Linked DNA regions of Oryzias latipes. The protein of the gene in region 1 purifies or fractionates together with the protein of each later gene. This does not show direct contact. Links are inferred from orthologs where the notes say so. Each region holds a gene or a part of one and is shown in the gene's direction. Other genes may lie near its edges.

Region 1 (4,287 bases):
GTCTCCCCAAAAATGAGAACAAATACTTTTGACGAAAGGGAGCAAGCGTTCATCCAGATACCCCACTGGCCCGGAGTGTGATCAAACGAGCAGCAGTGTGACCATAGGAGTGAGAATGCGTGCGTACCGCTGAAGGGCTGGTCCAGTCCTGCGTTCAATAGCCTGCAGATCTTTTTACATTGAAAATGACTCCAGAGACACAGATAGTTTTATTTCTTTTAAAGAACGTATCGCATTTTTTGACCAATGTGTGAAATGTCTAAGAATCTGAATTTAAATGTATTAAAGTGCTCATTTTAACACTAAATGGCTCCAGTGTTGAATTGCTCATGATTTTTTTTAACCATTTGATATTACTGAAATGTACACAGGATCTTTGAACTTCACATACAAAATGGGGATGAGGATTATGTTATTATTTTATCTGATGTAACTATTTATTTCCCCTCGGTTTGATGTACTTGTCTTTATTATTATTATTCATATGTATATTATTAGTACAGTCAGCATACCATAAAAAACAATATAAACTCAAACAAACCATGACTTTGATAAATATTAAGTGTTTTCAATGCTTTCATATGGTTAATATAATATATACTGTATATAGTATATATATATATATTTATATATATATATATATATATATATAAATATATATATATATATATATATATAAATAGTGTGCAAACCTGGGTTTCTGGTTACTGTTTTTACACTTGTGAATGTGATGTTTTTCTATTATGGCCAATAATTTATAATTATAATTTAATTATACTTGTCATTAAGTCTTTATTTTATTTTTTTATTGAACTTCAAACAAACATATACACATAACTACAACAGAAATAAATAAAAAAAGAATAATATACAAAATAAAATAAAACTAAAGAAACAAAATAAAAATTGTAGTTTACAATACTAGTGATTGTCATAAAACATGTGATCTTCAATGAAAATAGACAATTTTATTCCATTTTTGTTTTTTATTAATTTCAGAGATTGAAAATATAAACTGATCTCTTTATGAAATGTATTGAATAATGGTTTGATTTTTGAAAATCTGCTCTTATGAATGAAAAATGTCCCAGATATTAATAAGGTATTGAATGTCAAATCAAATAGATTATCACCAGAAACAATCCAAATAATATCTGCTTTTGTAATTGAATAGAAATAGGAAAAGGAAAATTTGAGGAACCAAGAAAAAAAATCCTCCCAAAAACTGTAAACGTATGAATACAAAGAACAGATGATCAAGTGATTCTATATTTATGTCACAGAGAGAACAGTTATTCTCTGGTAAACCAAAACATGTATGTAATAATTCCTTGCATGGATAGACTGCATTCAGTATTTTAAAATGGATTTCTTTGTATTTTGGAAAAATGGGATATTTAATAAACTGAGATCTTAACTTGATTATTTCTTCTTTTGTGTAAAGCTGTGACATAGAATGATTTTTGTAAGATGTTGGAAACAAACAAAGATCCTATAAATGAGTTTGGAAGTTTTAAATGAACCGGTCGACCATCAAACAACAGAGACGGAAGCTGAACTTGAACATTTGGACCAAAGTCGGAAGCTTTGATCACAATGTGGTGTGGCGGTTTATAAAGTCATTCTTGCCGTTTTGCGAGTCTGTTTTTCTTGAGACTTGAACGCAGTTGTGACCTGACGTCATCACGACGACAGGCGGGACTACGTCATGTGACGTGTACTTCCGGTCCGTCAATGAAGCTCTGGCTAACAGGAGCGGCTCTCTGCAGTTCAGGATGATAAAGACGGAGAGGATTCTACATCTGAGGAGGTTCCGCGGGAGGAAGGTTCGAGTGGTTCGGGAGCATTACCTCAGAGAGCGGGTCCCCTGTTTCAGCTCCCTATGCCAGGCGGACTGTGCTAACGGTAGTCCTCCGAACCGAACACGAGCGCCAAACCCAAACACGAACACACACCGAACTCAACACGAGCACCGAACCCAAACACGAACACACACCGAACCCAAACACGAACACCGAACCCGAACCCAACACGAGCACCGAACCCAAACAAGAGCGCCGAACCCAAACACGAACAGACGCACCGAACTCAACACGAGCACCGAACCCAAACACGAACACACACCGAACCCAAACACGAACACCGAACCCGAACCCAACACGAGCACCGAACCCAAACAAGAGCGCCGAACCCAAACACGAACACACACCGAACTCAACACGAGCACCGAACCCAACACGAGCGCCAAACACGAACACACACCGAACTCAACACGAGCACCGAACCCAAACACGAACACCGAACCCAACACGAGCACCGAACCCAACACGAACACCGAACCCAACACGAGCACCGAACCCAAACAAGAGCGCCAAACCCGAACACGAACAGACACACCGAACCCGAGCCTGCTAGTCCGTCTCTGTCAGTGATCGATCCCGCTGAGTAAAAGTTGGCGGGCTCGGAGAAGCTGCCATGACACTGACGATACTTTCAAATAACTGCGGTGAAGTTAGTGTCAGGTTGGATATTCGACAGACGTTCAGCGCGGAGCTCCAGTGGGGTCTCTAAGGGACCGTCAACAAATGAACAAGGCCATGAGATGGAGAAGATTTTAGATCAAACCCAAAACTAAATGCTTTGCAAAGATAAATAAATTACTATAAGACATCTTCTCATGTTGTGTCTAAATAATCTATTTCTTTTGCAACGTTTTAATGGGAAATGTTTTTTCAATCAAAGATGCTCAATATTTGATAAATTCCAGAGGTTTGCATATGTAAGCTGGTCATTTCTTTCAATAGCTCCCAAACCGCCTGACCCAAAGATATAAAACCTATTCCAAATTGTTGTACTGACATTCCAACATCAGACACACCTCTTTCTTTTGTAATCAAAGATGTTATATATTTTTTATGAATTTTTATATAAAAATTCCAGAGGTTTGCATATGAAAGCTGGTCATCTTTTTCAATAGCTCCCAAACCAACTGACCCAAAGATAATTCATATAAAACATATAACATCTTTGATTACAAAACAAAAAGGTGTGTGTCTGATGTTGGAATGTCAGTACAACAATTCGACATTGGTTTTATATCTTTGGGTCAGGCGGTTTGGGAGCTATTGAAGAAACGATTAGATTTTAGATGTGAACAGCTGTAATTTTAAAACAAAAAGTAATGTAAGATTTGTGTCATCTTTAATTCCTAAACAAATTGGCGTTTGATGTCAGAAGAACAATTTGGCAGAGGTTTCATGTTTTTGGGTGATGTGGTTTGGAAGCTATTGAAAAAACTCAACAGAATTTGCGAAATGCAGGAATTTTTGTAAAAATATTTAATAGAATTTCTTTATAAAATGTGTGTATGTTGTATGTTGGAGCCATATTTTTTTTATATATTTGCAATCATAACATCACACAGTTAGGAAGCAATAAAAAAAATCTTTCCTTCAAACAGTTTTCTTATAAAATATTGAGCATCTATGATTGCAAAATTTTTCCCATTAAAAAGTTGCAAAAGAAATAGATTAAGACACAAAATGAGAAAAGGTTTATAGTAATTTATTTATTTTTATTTTTGCAAAGTTAAATTCCTCTCCATCTCATGCAGTCGTTAATTTGTTGACGGTCCCTAAGAGTCCACACTGGACAACCCGCTGAATGTCTGTCGAATATCCAACAACTAACTTCACCGCAGTGGTACTTTAATACATTTGAAACAAATGTATAAAATGTTAATTTATTTAAAGGTTGATGTTATTCGCACGTAAAGTTCAGCACTGGACATATTTCGAAAGTTACGTGTGAACGGACACGTTCTTATTTCAAATAGGAGTAATTTCAACAAATAGTACGCTTTTAATTTTTTGCATGAAAAGTTTTTGACAGAAGATCATCTTTCTATGAAAATAAAACAGAAACGTTCTTCTCAACGAAACAGGTGTCAAAGTTCTGCCTGGAGACTTGACCCACTATGTGATGCCGGACGCAGACGTGGTGGTCGACTACCTGGAGATCCTGGAGCTCAAGGAGCTGCAGGGCATCATCTTCACCCAGACCGCCTGCCAGGCGCTGCACAGCAAGGGCCGCAGGTACAAGCAGGCTACGGGACGCTAGCTACGCCCTTCAGAACGCTAGATACATCCTTTAGGACACTAGCTACACCCTTCAGAACGCTAGATACACCCTTCAGGACGCTAGATACACCCTTCAGGATGCTAGCTACACCCTTCAGGACGCTAGATACACCCTTCAGGATGCTAGATACATCCTTTAGGACGCCAG
Region 2 (4,096 bases), on another chromosome or scaffold:
AACATGGCTGCCGGGGAGCAGCGCAGAGCCCAGACTGTCCCTGAACTGCCCCGGCCGCAGCACCTGCTCCGCGGGCTACAGCTAACACAGCAGGACCGCCACAAGTTAGCGCAACACGAGCTTCGCTGACACCCGAACACGCGCGGAAGACGGATGTAAGCACGCGCTGACGCAAAACAAGAGGCAGCAGACATTTAACGTGATACAACAGAAAAGATAAAACGTTTTATCTGAAGACCACGAATGAATGAAAAACAAACGCTAGCTTGCTAGCCACAACGTTGCGCGCGCGCGCGCGCCCATGATGAATGGAGTGGAGTGAATGAGCGTGCGCACACAAACCGTCCTTACGTCCTCTCTTGCAGCTCGTTATTATATTTGAAAATGGTTGTTGTTGTGTTCTGCCCTACGGAGAAGGGCACAAGAGTGATCTGAGGTTGAAGAGCGGAGTCTCCCTTGAGAAACGGAGGGGAAACACGGCTGGATGGATGGACCGTGAGTGACAGTTAGCCCGTATAACGGTACTGGACGTGCGCAGTAGACACAGAAGGGGAAGCACGACTGATGCGTTCAAATGCTCAAGCCAAAAATCCGAACCCAAGCTGTCATTCGCTCATTTGTTTTTATGCATGCTTGTTATAATTTTTTTAAATAACATCATCAAGGATTTGTTCACATCTGTTTCCTTTTTTTTCAGACCGATGAACATAAAAAGCTTTTAAGATGTACTACTGGCTATTTTTAATTGCCATATAAGGAAAATGTGGTGTGATTGGTTAATATTTGATTTAACAATACATAAAAAATAATTTATTCTTTAATAAACAGAACACAGCTTTGGTTGTATATATTTGTAAATACAGAAAATTGAATGCATTGTTAGTCAAAGGTTATATTCATAGAGGAAGAAAAAGAAAAACATGTATTTAGAATTCAAGTCTACAGGACTTTAATTGGGGGAAAATGGCTTGAGCTTAAAAGAAGTTCCCCTTTACATTTCTTATGTTTATGTTAAGACAAACTAAACAAACAGCAAACATTTATTCAATGTTTAATATTAAATAAATTTGACAGCCAAATAGAATTTGCAAAGATCAAGGGATTGAAATTCTTTGTATACACATTTATCATTTCTTTTAGTATTTTTATGCAGTTAATTAAGCACGTGTATTAAATGTATTCTTAAAAAATTGTCAAGTTAAAATACAAAACCAATTATATTGCAGAAGACAAAAACTTGAACAATGTAATTTCCAAGTTGACCCCAACGCAGCACCGATCGCAACTGTCGTAAACACTTTTTACACTCGTCTGACCGCAGGAAATGCAGATATTTTATATAAATTATAAGGATATATTTTTGGGTTTGTAAAATAATACAAAATTATTTCTTGTACTGAAATAATTGTTGCCTTTAATGTGAAAACAAATAATTGGTTGATTCAACCTGCTGTGTATTTGATGCTGGCGTCTTCTGTTTCCATCTATTTAGTTTGAAATAATATGAATTTGTACGAAACCATAAATAAAATGCTACAATTCAAAATTAAGATAATTTTTAACATTAAAACCATGTTTAATCCAGCATTGGACTCAAACCATATTCGAGCCTTTACTGTCGTAAAACGTACACAGCTGCGCATGCGCGCCTAGAACCGGATAAACATAAACGTGCCCGCGTGGTTTTCAAAGAATCTAATCATTTCAAAATAACTCCAAACAGCCTGAAATCCACACGATGAAAGAAACACCGCTGTCCGCCTGCGAGCGGGACTTTATACTGAAAGCCATCGAGGAGAAAAAGGTTTGTTTTCGTTCCTCGGTAACAGTTCCCTGATGACTACTGTGTACAACAACATTTTATTAAAAGCGTAGTTGTTTAACAGTTCGGTAAAACTCCGGGAAGGTGGTTTAATTTAGAAATCTTCAAGAGAAGAGGGAAAAATGCGACTTTTGCAGCATCAATGATTGATTTACTGATTTTAATACAAAAACTGTGCATTTAATTGATTAATTTTTGTACTTCTGTGGCCTTGATCACTGCAAGGTTCCGTATGCTGCTCGTCTTAGTGACAATCTGGATATTATAATGTGAGAAAAATATATTTCTGTGTTTTTTTTAATATATTCATATCCAGCCTAACTGCTTCACTCTCTGCTGGTGACTGAATAGAAAAAGTGAGATGGGAAGAGTTTAAGGGAAAACTATCACGTTGTCTTTTTTTCCGTGCAGCGTCTGGACGGACGGCAGACCTACGACTACAGAAAGATCAAGATCAGCTTTGGGACGGACTACGGCTGCTGCTTTGTGGATTTGGGACAAACCAGGTGAGCCCCAGGTTCTCTTTGTGGGGAAAACCGGACGTGGTGCGTTTGATGTCGCTCAGTCATCGGAGCTTTGTGTTTTCAGGGTCATGGCCCAGGTATCTTGTGAGCTGGTTGCACCAAAGGAGAGCCGCCCGAATGAGGGAATCATGTTTTTTAACATCGAGCTGTCACCTCTGGCCTCGCCAGCTTTCGAGCAGGGAAGGTTGGTTTTGGATCACATGACCTTATAGTTTTGTGCCTCGATTGTCTCTGTGTGGCTCATTTTTTGTTGTTTCGCCACATCCAGACAGTCGGAGCTGTCCGTGAAGCTGAACAGACAGTTGGAAAGATGCCTGAGGAACTCCAAGTGCATCGACACGGAGTCCCTGTGCGTGGTGTCCGGAGAAAAGGTCATTCCCACAAACCTGTGCGACTCGCAAAGCGACGTCTGCTTTCCTCTGAAACGCGTGTGTTCGCCCAGGTGTGGCAGATCAGGGTGGATGTCCACATGCTGAACAACGACGGGAACCTGATGGACGCCTCCAGCATCGCCGCCATCGCCGCTCTGTGCCATTTCAGGCGGCCCGACGTAGCCGTCCAGGGAGAGGAGGTCACGGTGGTGAGGGAGCAGCCCCAGCAGGAGGCGGCGTTTTCTCATCTGTCGGTTTACATTGTTGCTTTTCCCGTTTCAGTACAGCCCAGAGGAGAGGGATCCCATTCCTCTTAGCATCTACCACATGCCCATTAGTGTCAGCTTCTCCTTCTTCCAACAAGGGTAATAATCCACTTCTCCTGATTCATCCCCAACTCCTGACCATAAACTCACTATTCAAACTATCAATTGGAGATCACATGATCGGAAATCACAGTTTCAGACTTGATCGGAATTTATTTTTTATTATTTTAATTCAAGCTTGTTTTTTTTCTCCAAATAAACGTCCTACTCAAAATCTGCCGACCATGAACGCATCACGACATTTTACGCAGCGGAATAGGGCGTCATTTTGAGCAGGAGGCAAGATATTCCCACATTTAGGCTTCCAGGCTCTTTAAAGAAACATTTTAAGCTGACAAACAAGTGTTTCTATTGGTTTGTCTTAACTCACACAACTACTTTCGACGGCATCGTGAACTCTGATCATCTTTTGATCGCAGTGGTCTTTTTAATTATGTTTTTTTAGGCAAAATCACAAAACCTGTATCGTTTTCTAGGACATAGTTTCTGCAGAGCGGCTGCAGTTGTCTTGTGGGGCGGGAGTTTTGGTGTGGAGTAACCCCGCCCCCCTTCCCCATCATAAATCTTTTTACAGGCTCTCTGGCTAGCTTACAGCCCCCTCTCAAACCCAAGGTAGCATTGCCGGTGAGACATAGAGACGTACGTGGATCTGTACAGAGCTGGGAGCTTCTGGCTTGCCGTAGTAACGTGTTAAAAGGGTTTTTCCAACTGCATATTTTGTCAGCTCCTAATTACAAAAAAAATTCTCAGAAATGCAATTTTTAGCTAAATCTTCTTTTTCTATGTCTTCAATCATGAGAAAACACTACAAGAACACGTTATAAACACCACTTTCATCAAAGTGGGTCTTTAGTGAGATTCATGGTGTGTCCAAATTCGAGGGCTGCTTCCTTCAATAAACTACCTTTAATTAACTACAATAGGCCGGATGTGAACAGCTGTGAATTTGGATGAGCCTAACCGTTTGAATTATTCCAGCCGTTGCATCTGCGAATGTCCCGTCGCCTAGCAACCGCGAGTCCAGAACAGAGAGGAGAAGTGAACCAGGCATGG
Region 3 (4,268 bases), on another chromosome or scaffold:
TGGAAATAGTAGGTGATCAGAAAGACACCGCCAATAAAGGAGTAGTTCTGCAAGTGATGACCACAGACAACTTCTCTGTCCTTATGTTTTCTGGTTGACGGTTTCTACGGTGTCTACAACCCACAGAAGTGGCCCAGGAAGTGCAACTCATCCAGGATGGCACATCAATGCAAGCTGTAGCCAGGTTTGCTGTGTAGAAGTTCCATCAGGAGACAGGCTAGTACATCAGGAGATGTGGAGAAGGCCATAGAAGGGGGGCCAACCCTGCATCAGGACCACTGCCTCCTCCTTTGTGCAAGGAGAAACGGGAAGAGGCCTGCAAAATAACCTCCAGTTGACCACAAATGTGCACGTCTGCTCAGAATGGTAGAAACAGACTCCATGAGGTCGCCAGGTGGGAGTTGTGTTGACAGCCCAAAACCGTGCGAGACATTTGACATTTGCTGTAGAACACCAAGCTTGGCATAGTCACTGTTGACACAGTCTGGAGATGCGGTGGAGAATGCTCTGCTGCCTGCAATATTGTCCAACATGAGCGCTTTGGCAATGGGTCAGGTATGGTTTGGGGCGGCATTTCTTTGGAGTGCCACACAGCCCTCCATGTGCTCACCAGAGGTAGCCTGACTGTCATTAGGTACTGAGATGAGATTCTCTGACCCCTTGTGAGACCGCATGTTGGTGCGATTGGCCCTGGGTTCCTCCTAAAGTAAGACAGTGCTAGGCCTCATGTGGCTGGAGTGTCAGCAGTTTCTGCCAGACGAAGCTAATGATGTCATGGACTGGCCCGCACACTTTCCAGACCTGAATGCAATTGAGCACATCGGGGACATCATGTCTCGTCCATCCACTAACTCCTGGTTGCACCCCAGACTGTCCAGGAGTTAGCAGATGCTTTGGTCCAGGCGTCAGAGAAGATCCCTTGGAGGACCACCCGCTGCCTCATCAGAAGCGTACCCAGGCATTGCAGGGGAATCATATGGGCATGTGGAGGCCACGCCCACTACTGAGCCTCATTTTGACTTGTTTCAAAGAAATTACATTGAAGTTGGATCAGCATGTAATGTTCACACATCCAGACATCCATAGCCGAATAGTTTTAATTTCCATTACTATTTTTATTTTATTGTGTTGTCAGGACATGCAAATATGTAAAGAATGAAGCATTTCAAAAGAATATTTCATTTGTTCAGGCATAGCATGTCTTTTTTAGTGCTCCTAAATCGTTTGAGTTGTGTACGTGTGTGTGGGTGTGTCTGTGTGTTACACTATTGAGACATTTTTATACTACTTTTTGTTTCTGTAGAAAATTATTTTACCTTTTTTCAAAGACGATTATTTTAGAGGAAATTTGGTGAGACCTGGATTTATCCAAAACGTTTTGAAAGGTGTGTCCTTTAAACAGGAAAATTCTTATAATTTAGAAAGCGCTATTGTTCCTCCTGGTCACCAGGGGGCGCAAAGTAAGGATCTGATATAAACAACAAAAAGAAGAAGACGACCATGAGCACGACAGGAGGCATGTTCGCCGTTCTGAAGGAGAAAGTTGGACAGGTTCTGGTTCCGGGGGACGAGTTCTGCTTTGGTGCAGAGGAAACGATCTCTCTGTCGGAGAGCGCGAAGCCGGAGCGCGCGGTGTGTGGACCAGGGCTGCGGCGGAGCGGAGACCGCCTGGTGGTGATGAAGAGCGGCGTGCTGCGGCACAAACCGCCGCTCACCTTCTGGATCGATTCCCAGCAGAAGCGGGTAAGAGCGGACCGGTCCGAACCAAAGGTTCTGAGATCCCAACAAACTGCGTTCAGCGGTCCAGAGACGTGTTTAGAGCATTAATGTGAAGCGGTCCGGTCACAACCAGCATTCAAACACAACTTTATTGATAGCACTTCCTGATGAAATCCACCTCAAGTGCTTTATATAACAAATAGTAAAAATATCAGTTACAAATAACAAAGTATAATCAAATAAAAACCAAATACGCGTCAAGCTAATACATCAAAATAAACTAAATTAATTATTTATCAAATTAAAACATATGGACTGATACAGAGATATGGGTTTTGATTCGATGCACTCAACTAACCAAGAATTTAAAAAAATCCACACATGATCTGCGTATTTTCAATTTAGACCCAGATTATTTATGCAAACACAAGTTTCATTTTTGCAAACTTGTGTTTGCTTAAATAATGTACTTTGTTGTGAATAAATGTGTCCGCGTGCGTTCGTTCCATTGATCCTTAGGACAGTGTTTTTCAACCTTTTTTGAGCCACGGCACACTTTAACCCTGAAAAAAATCCCGCGGCACACCATCATCCAAAAAAAAAAAAAAAAGCAGAAATTCATGGTCTGTATTGATCGACAGCGCCCCCCCCCCCCGCAATCTCACGTGAATTTTTGTGATAATTGTGGCAGAAAAAGCAGGAATTTGCGGCTGTTTTTTTCTAAGAGATGAACCACCAGCTAAAGCTCGTCTTTAGCTGGTATATTTGTTAGAACTGAGCGACTTTATCAGCAGAATTAAGAACAAGGAAGTGAAGACTTTAAGCACTTCTGATTGGTCAGACTGATGACATGTGATTAAGCCTTCAAGAATGATTGGCGGAGACAGTTAAAGGGGCGGGACTTTTCCTTACACAGTTAGAGCTGCAGCTAAATCGCGGTACCGTGATTTTTATCAAAATCTCTTTAATAGAATTAAATAAACACAAAGAAAAAGTAATTTTAAGATCTTTTATATTCCTAACTACTCAGTGTTTTATCAGGGCCTGTTTGGATGAACACAGAGCTGAAATCCTGGAGATGGAAAATGTTTTTAGATCAGTTAATGAGGGCAATTTCTCCACGGCGCACTTGACCATCTCCCACGGCACACTAGTGTGCCGCGGCACACTGGTTGAAAAACACTGCCTTAGGAGAATCGTAGTGTGACGTCACCCATACAAATGGCTTACTGGCTCAAAGATGAAACAAACAGAGATGCTTGTCCTCCCCGAGCAGCAGCAGGTGAGCAGCAGAGTAGAGAACCGCCCCGTGTACTGATGATGGGTTGGTTGGCAGTGAAACATCTCTAAAGTCGGATCTTGGCGTTTACTATATTATTTCACCCATTTTGACTTAATTATTCTCTGTGCTGCACATGACTGCGTCTCTGGTCAGCGTGAGTTGGCGCTCAATGCACTCTGCAGGTGGGTGCTGGGGTGGTGTTGGTCCAGTAGACCTGCAGCTGCTCAGAACTGCACAAACGCCAGACGTATAGAGAGAGAGACAGGCACAACTCATTGTCATGGAATACCTTAAGTCAGAGAAAATGAACATGGAGGCATTAAATAATTCTTTGTGTTTTTAAAAGAGTGGATTCGACAGATGTGATCATAGGCGTAACTGATTTGTTTCCACATCTCACTTTGAGCAGTGGCCTATAGACCACATGTGTTGTAACTTTTTTGTGTATTTTTTCACATTGTTGTCTGAATTCTAATAAAACCAGGTTATGTCTTGAGCCAGGTTCAAATTTGCACAAGGTCATTTCTCTGAATATAAAGTTATATGAATGACAAGAGGATCTTGTTTGTGAAAACTGTTTTTTGCCTTGAGAATCTGTATGTGAGAGGAAAAAAAGTGGAGTAACCGGTAGGCAATTACCGTACTAAATAGGTGAGTAAAGTAATTTAATTACAATTTTGTAACACTAAGTAAACAGTTACTTTTTAGAAGTCATTTTCCCAACACTGATGCCAATATGACGTCACCCGTTTCCCTAAATAGAAAGGTAATAAATATGAACATTTTATGACGACTTTATGAATCTACTGTGTTCTGATGATGAAAACCTAATGGTTTATAAAAAATAGTGGCCAATCAGGAGTGAGCTTGTTTGAAGGTCACACCCCTATCACTTGAAAGCAGGCTACATAAAATCTGTCAAATGTTTCACACATTCAATGTGAGAAGTTATGTCAATGGGATTTTGGCTTCTTGGAGCCAGCGGGTTCTTCCTGTTTGGAGCATGAGGAGGGAGGGGTCCTTCAGTCCAGTTCTCGAATAGTCAATGGTTTGTTCTCCTCAGTATGTCGCCACTAAAGGGGAGACCGTGATCGGGATCGTGACGGCCCGAGCAGGAGACACCTTCAGGGTGGACTTTGGCGGCAGCGAGCTGGCGTCTCTGTCTTACCTGGCGTTTGAAGGAGCCACCAAGCGAAACCGACCCAACGTCCAGGTGAGTGTGGGTGGGGCTCTGTGTGCAGTCTGCTGTGTGCAGTCACTCCAAGGA
Region 4 (3,716 bases), on another chromosome or scaffold:
ACATATAATCTTGTTATTGTTGAGCTCATTGCATTATACGTATATGCATTGTTTCATATATGTTTTTATTTATACACATTAGAGATGCTAATAAATTTTATTTTTAAAACTCTTGAGGTTTGAGTTGTACTCCTTTTCTTAGGCTTCATCTTTTCATCTTCATCTTCATACCTTTATCGATGGAAAGGATTTTGATGTTAAATGCGATATTAAAGCAAATCTAAAGGTAAAAAGACAACAAATGAAGCAACAAACAGAATGAAGAGATGGAAGATGAGGCTGGAATGTCGTCTGAGATCTGATAAAAGCTTTAAAGTGAAATGCTGGCAGGCAGTTTGTGTGACTGAAATATTAACAAAGCAGGCCAAAATGTAGTCAATTTAAACACGTTTTAAAAGGTGAAAAGCTTTACTCTGTAATCAATTTAAAAACACACAAAAAACTTATTTTAAATATGGCATTACAAGGTAAGTCTACTTCATATTTGTAAATTATCAAATGCTTTAACACAAATTTTTTTTTAAATATGAAAAAGTGAAAGATGTTGATCTGATTTAAAATGATCACGAACGATTGGCGCTCAAAAATATTAAAATTAAACTAGAAAAATAAATGACAATAGAATTGAATCCTTTTTAACATCAGAAATGAAAATATATCTTCTGTATAATTTACAAAAATGCTAAAACATTTTATTTAAAAAGATTAACACTGGATTTACTTTTTAAAATTTGAAAACCAAGATGTTTTGGAAAAATAAATATACTTTGACTTGGGTTCTGATTTCAGACAGAAGATAAAACAAACTGCAGCGCCTGTAAAACTTGTCAAGATGTCAGGGGCAAAAATTAATAAAATAAAAGAAAATGAGAAAATCTGCAGGTGTCCTTTAAAGAATTCTTATAGTAATTTCAGAAAATGTTGCTGTACTCTAATATCAAAATTCTATATTTAAAGACAGTATTTTAAAATTGACATTCCCAAGAAAAAACAATAGTTATTAAAATCATGATTAATCTTTATCAGATTATGTCAATACTCTGACATTAAATGAAGTGTTTATTGTGTTGAAAATATTTATAAATCTGAATTCCTAAAACTTAAAATGCTTAAAGTCTTATTTTATCTTGTAATTTTAAATTAAAAATCGGAGTCGTGAGATTAAAGTCAGAATTCTTAAATGTAAAAACTGCATGCCGTGTGTAATTTCTCAGCTCCTGATTTTAATTTATTTTATTAATTAGTTTTGACTCGCGTACTAGTAGTTCCGCATTTATCTACTTCTTTTGTTCTGACGTATCAGTTAGATTTAAAAATAATATAAAATAAGAAAAAAGGCTTTCTAAATGTTTCGTTAGGCTACTTTTCCAGTAAGAAGTTGTTACTAAACCATCTAAGTAAAATAAATATGGAAATCTTTTTTGCGACACTTTCTTCCGACGTTGCTGTAACTGCTCGAAGAGGATGATGGTTAATGTAGTACATCAGTAGACACGTGTGTTGTCGTGTAGTTAAGCTAGGGAAAATGGCGGGTCTGGAGCTGCTGTCTGATCAAGGATACCGGTTGGATGGAAGAAAAGCTACCGAGCTGCGCAAAGTCCAGGCCCGCATGGGGGTGTTCGCTCAGGCCGACGGTTCCGCGTATCTGGAGCAAGGAAACACCAAAGCTCTGGCGGTGGTTTACGGCCCGCATGAAGTGAGTGGCGCGCGCGCGTGGAGAAGTGACGTAAAAACAACACCACCAGTCTGTTCATGGCAGCCAAAGAAACGGTGCAAACTGCGTTTAATGAAGGATTAAGATATTTCTATGTAATGTGTCAGATTTAAAGGGATATTTTACATTAATGTAATGATTTTAGTATAATACGTTTCCTTCAAAGCATTTTATTGTATCAGTAACACAAAATGTTTACTTATCTGGCTCGGTCACACAGTACTTACTAACAACTGCATTCAAGAGTTTTTGAACTTGTTATGCTATTCTGAGGTAAACTTACTGCTTTTGAATCTTTGACTTGCTGAGAAATCCAAGTTAATTTGAGGATTTGTTGGTTAATTTATTCATTTACCAAAAGTATTCCAAGCCCCAAATATAACAGCCCCTTACCATGACACCATTACCACCATGTTTGACTGTTTGTGCAATGTTTTACACTAGAGTGATGCGAGGCACATCACCCAAAATGTTTCACGGTTATCTTTTCTGTCCTGAAAGTCTTTCCTAAATCTTGTAGAACATCGATATTTCTGATGGAAAACCTGAGATGTTGTTTTTGCTCATCTGTGCCGTTGACCTCAAACTCTCCCATGTCTGGCGTTTTTATTGTCTGGTTTACCTCTGATGATGGATTAAAAAGCTGTTTTACTCAAAGGACAGATGTATGCCGCCCTGTGAAAAATGTCAGACCTTTTTTATGGTTCTCCTATGCTTACTTCCTGTTTCCCATTCAGATTCGAGGTGCTCGTAGTCGGGCTCTTCATGACAGAGCCATTATCAACTGCCAGTACAGCATGGCCACCTTCAGCACGGCGGAGAGGAAGAGGAGACCGCACGGAGACCGCAAGTCCACAGAAATGAGCCTTCACCTCAAGCAAACGTTTGAAGCTGCCGTGCTGACCCAGCTCTACCCACGCTCCCAGATAGACATCTATGTCAAGGTTGGCCTTAGATTTATAGTATACTGCGCTCTACTTCATAGCATCTGTTTTCGTCATTGTTTTAAGAACGTTTTCATCATTCAAGATTCTTCAGTCCGACGGGGGGAACTACAGCGTTTGTGTGAACGCCGCCACACTGGCAGTGATCGACGCAGGGATACCGATGAGGGACTATGTGTGCGCCTGCACAGTGGGCTTCGTGGATGAAACCTCTCTTGCCGATCTTTGCTACGCAGAGGAGAGCGGAGGAGTGAGCTCTCTGGCTTTGGCGCTTCTGCCCCGCGGAGGGCAGATCGCTCTGGTCCAGATGGATGCCAGACTGCATCAGGATCACCTCGACACTCTGATTGAGGCGGCAATGACCGCTTGTAAAGGTGTGAGCAAAGTCCTGGACCAGGTGGTCAGGCAACATCTCCAAGAAGGTTCTACGCTCAGAGAATAATGGTGAAGGAAAGAGTAAACAAATGGTTTCCTGGGATCAACACTTATTTTGTCGTCATTCTTAACATTTTATTAAGTATATTTGTGCATAAAGAATAAATGTGAATGTATATCGTTTCTTTGTATTTGCATTTGTTTTATTAGCTGAAAACTGACCTGTTTTTGATGCAAAAATCAATGTGATCAACTGAAACAGCAACATCAGCATTTTATATATAAACAGATAATAAAGCTTTGTTTTCAGACTGATACAATAAGAACCTTTATTTTAAACCACACATCCGTAAGAGTAAACAATTTGTGAAAAATTAGATAATTCTTATATCCAATTTATTTAGCTGTGTTGATATCTTACAAATTTTCACCAAAACAATACTTTTTATTCCTGAATGAAATGCTCTGTTCATGTGTTTAGTCTTTTTTTTTTAGATTAATTTTCTTTGATTTGTTTTGCAGACAGGCTATTCTGCTTTTGCTTTTGTTTGTTGTAAAAGTAATTTTTATGTCACAATACAATACATGTTTTGTAAGAGTTTCAGTCCGTTGAGGCTGAATAATCTATCATTTTCTTTACCTGCTGAAACAAAATTGGTATTAATGTAACTTACTTTTTAAAG

What was found. Proteins that work in one complex are often made in the same cells at the same time.
Region 2: the proteins of dis3l (region 1) and exosc9 purify together in Homo sapiens (affinity purification with mass spectrometry; 3 studies listed by BioGRID and IntAct, with this or other methods). This does not show direct contact. The link is inferred for Oryzias latipes from reciprocal best matches to the Homo sapiens genes DIS3L and EXOSC9.
Region 3: the proteins of dis3l (region 1) and exosc3 purify together in Homo sapiens (affinity purification with mass spectrometry; 6 studies listed by BioGRID and IntAct, counting the BioPlex papers as one, with this or other methods). This does not show direct contact. The link is inferred for Oryzias latipes from reciprocal best matches to the Homo sapiens genes DIS3L and EXOSC3.
Region 4: the proteins of dis3l (region 1) and exosc4 purify together in Homo sapiens (affinity purification with mass spectrometry; 5 studies listed by BioGRID and IntAct, with this or other methods). This does not show direct contact. The link is inferred for Oryzias latipes from reciprocal best matches to the Homo sapiens genes DIS3L and EXOSC4.

The regions. Positions count from the first base shown.
Region 1 is NC_019861.2:569,730-574,016, forward strand, and holds the start of dis3l (DIS3-like exonuclease 1), read left to right. Parts: upstream 1-1,487; 5' UTR 1,488-1,775; coding exon 1,776-1,905; intron 1,906-3,943; coding exon 3,944-4,094; intron 4,095-4,287. UniProt on the Homo sapiens protein: Catalytic component of the RNA exosome complex which has 3'->5' exoribonuclease activity and participates in a multitude of cellular RNA processing and degradation events.
Region 2 is NC_019859.2:5,412,190-5,416,285, reverse strand, and holds the start of exosc9 (exosome complex component RRP45), read left to right. Parts: upstream 1-1,296; 5' UTR 1,297-1,738; coding exon 1,739-1,804; intron 1,805-2,233; coding exon 2,234-2,328; intron 2,329-2,410; coding exon 2,411-2,530; intron 2,531-2,614; coding exon 2,615-2,717; intron 2,718-2,788; coding exon 2,789-2,926; intron 2,927-2,999; coding exon 3,000-3,082; intron 3,083-4,096. UniProt on the Homo sapiens protein: Non-catalytic component of the RNA exosome complex which has 3'->5' exoribonuclease activity and participates in a multitude of cellular RNA processing and degradation events.
Region 3 is NC_019868.2:3,163,411-3,167,678, forward strand, and holds the start of exosc3 (exosome complex component RRP40), read left to right. Parts: upstream 1-1,468; 5' UTR 1,469-1,500; coding exon 1,501-1,743; intron 1,744-4,064; coding exon 4,065-4,214; intron 4,215-4,268. UniProt on the Homo sapiens protein: Non-catalytic component of the RNA exosome complex which has 3'->5' exoribonuclease activity and participates in a multitude of cellular RNA processing and degradation events.
Region 4 is NC_019875.2:26,759,988-26,763,703, reverse strand, and holds exosc4 (exosome complex component RRP41), read left to right. Parts: upstream 1-1,461; 5' UTR 1,462-1,525; coding exon 1,526-1,696; intron 1,697-2,451; coding exon 2,452-2,658; intron 2,659-2,743; coding exon 2,744-3,100; 3' UTR 3,101-3,216; downstream 3,217-3,716. UniProt on the Homo sapiens protein: Non-catalytic component of the RNA exosome complex which has 3'->5' exoribonuclease activity and participates in a multitude of cellular RNA processing and degradation events.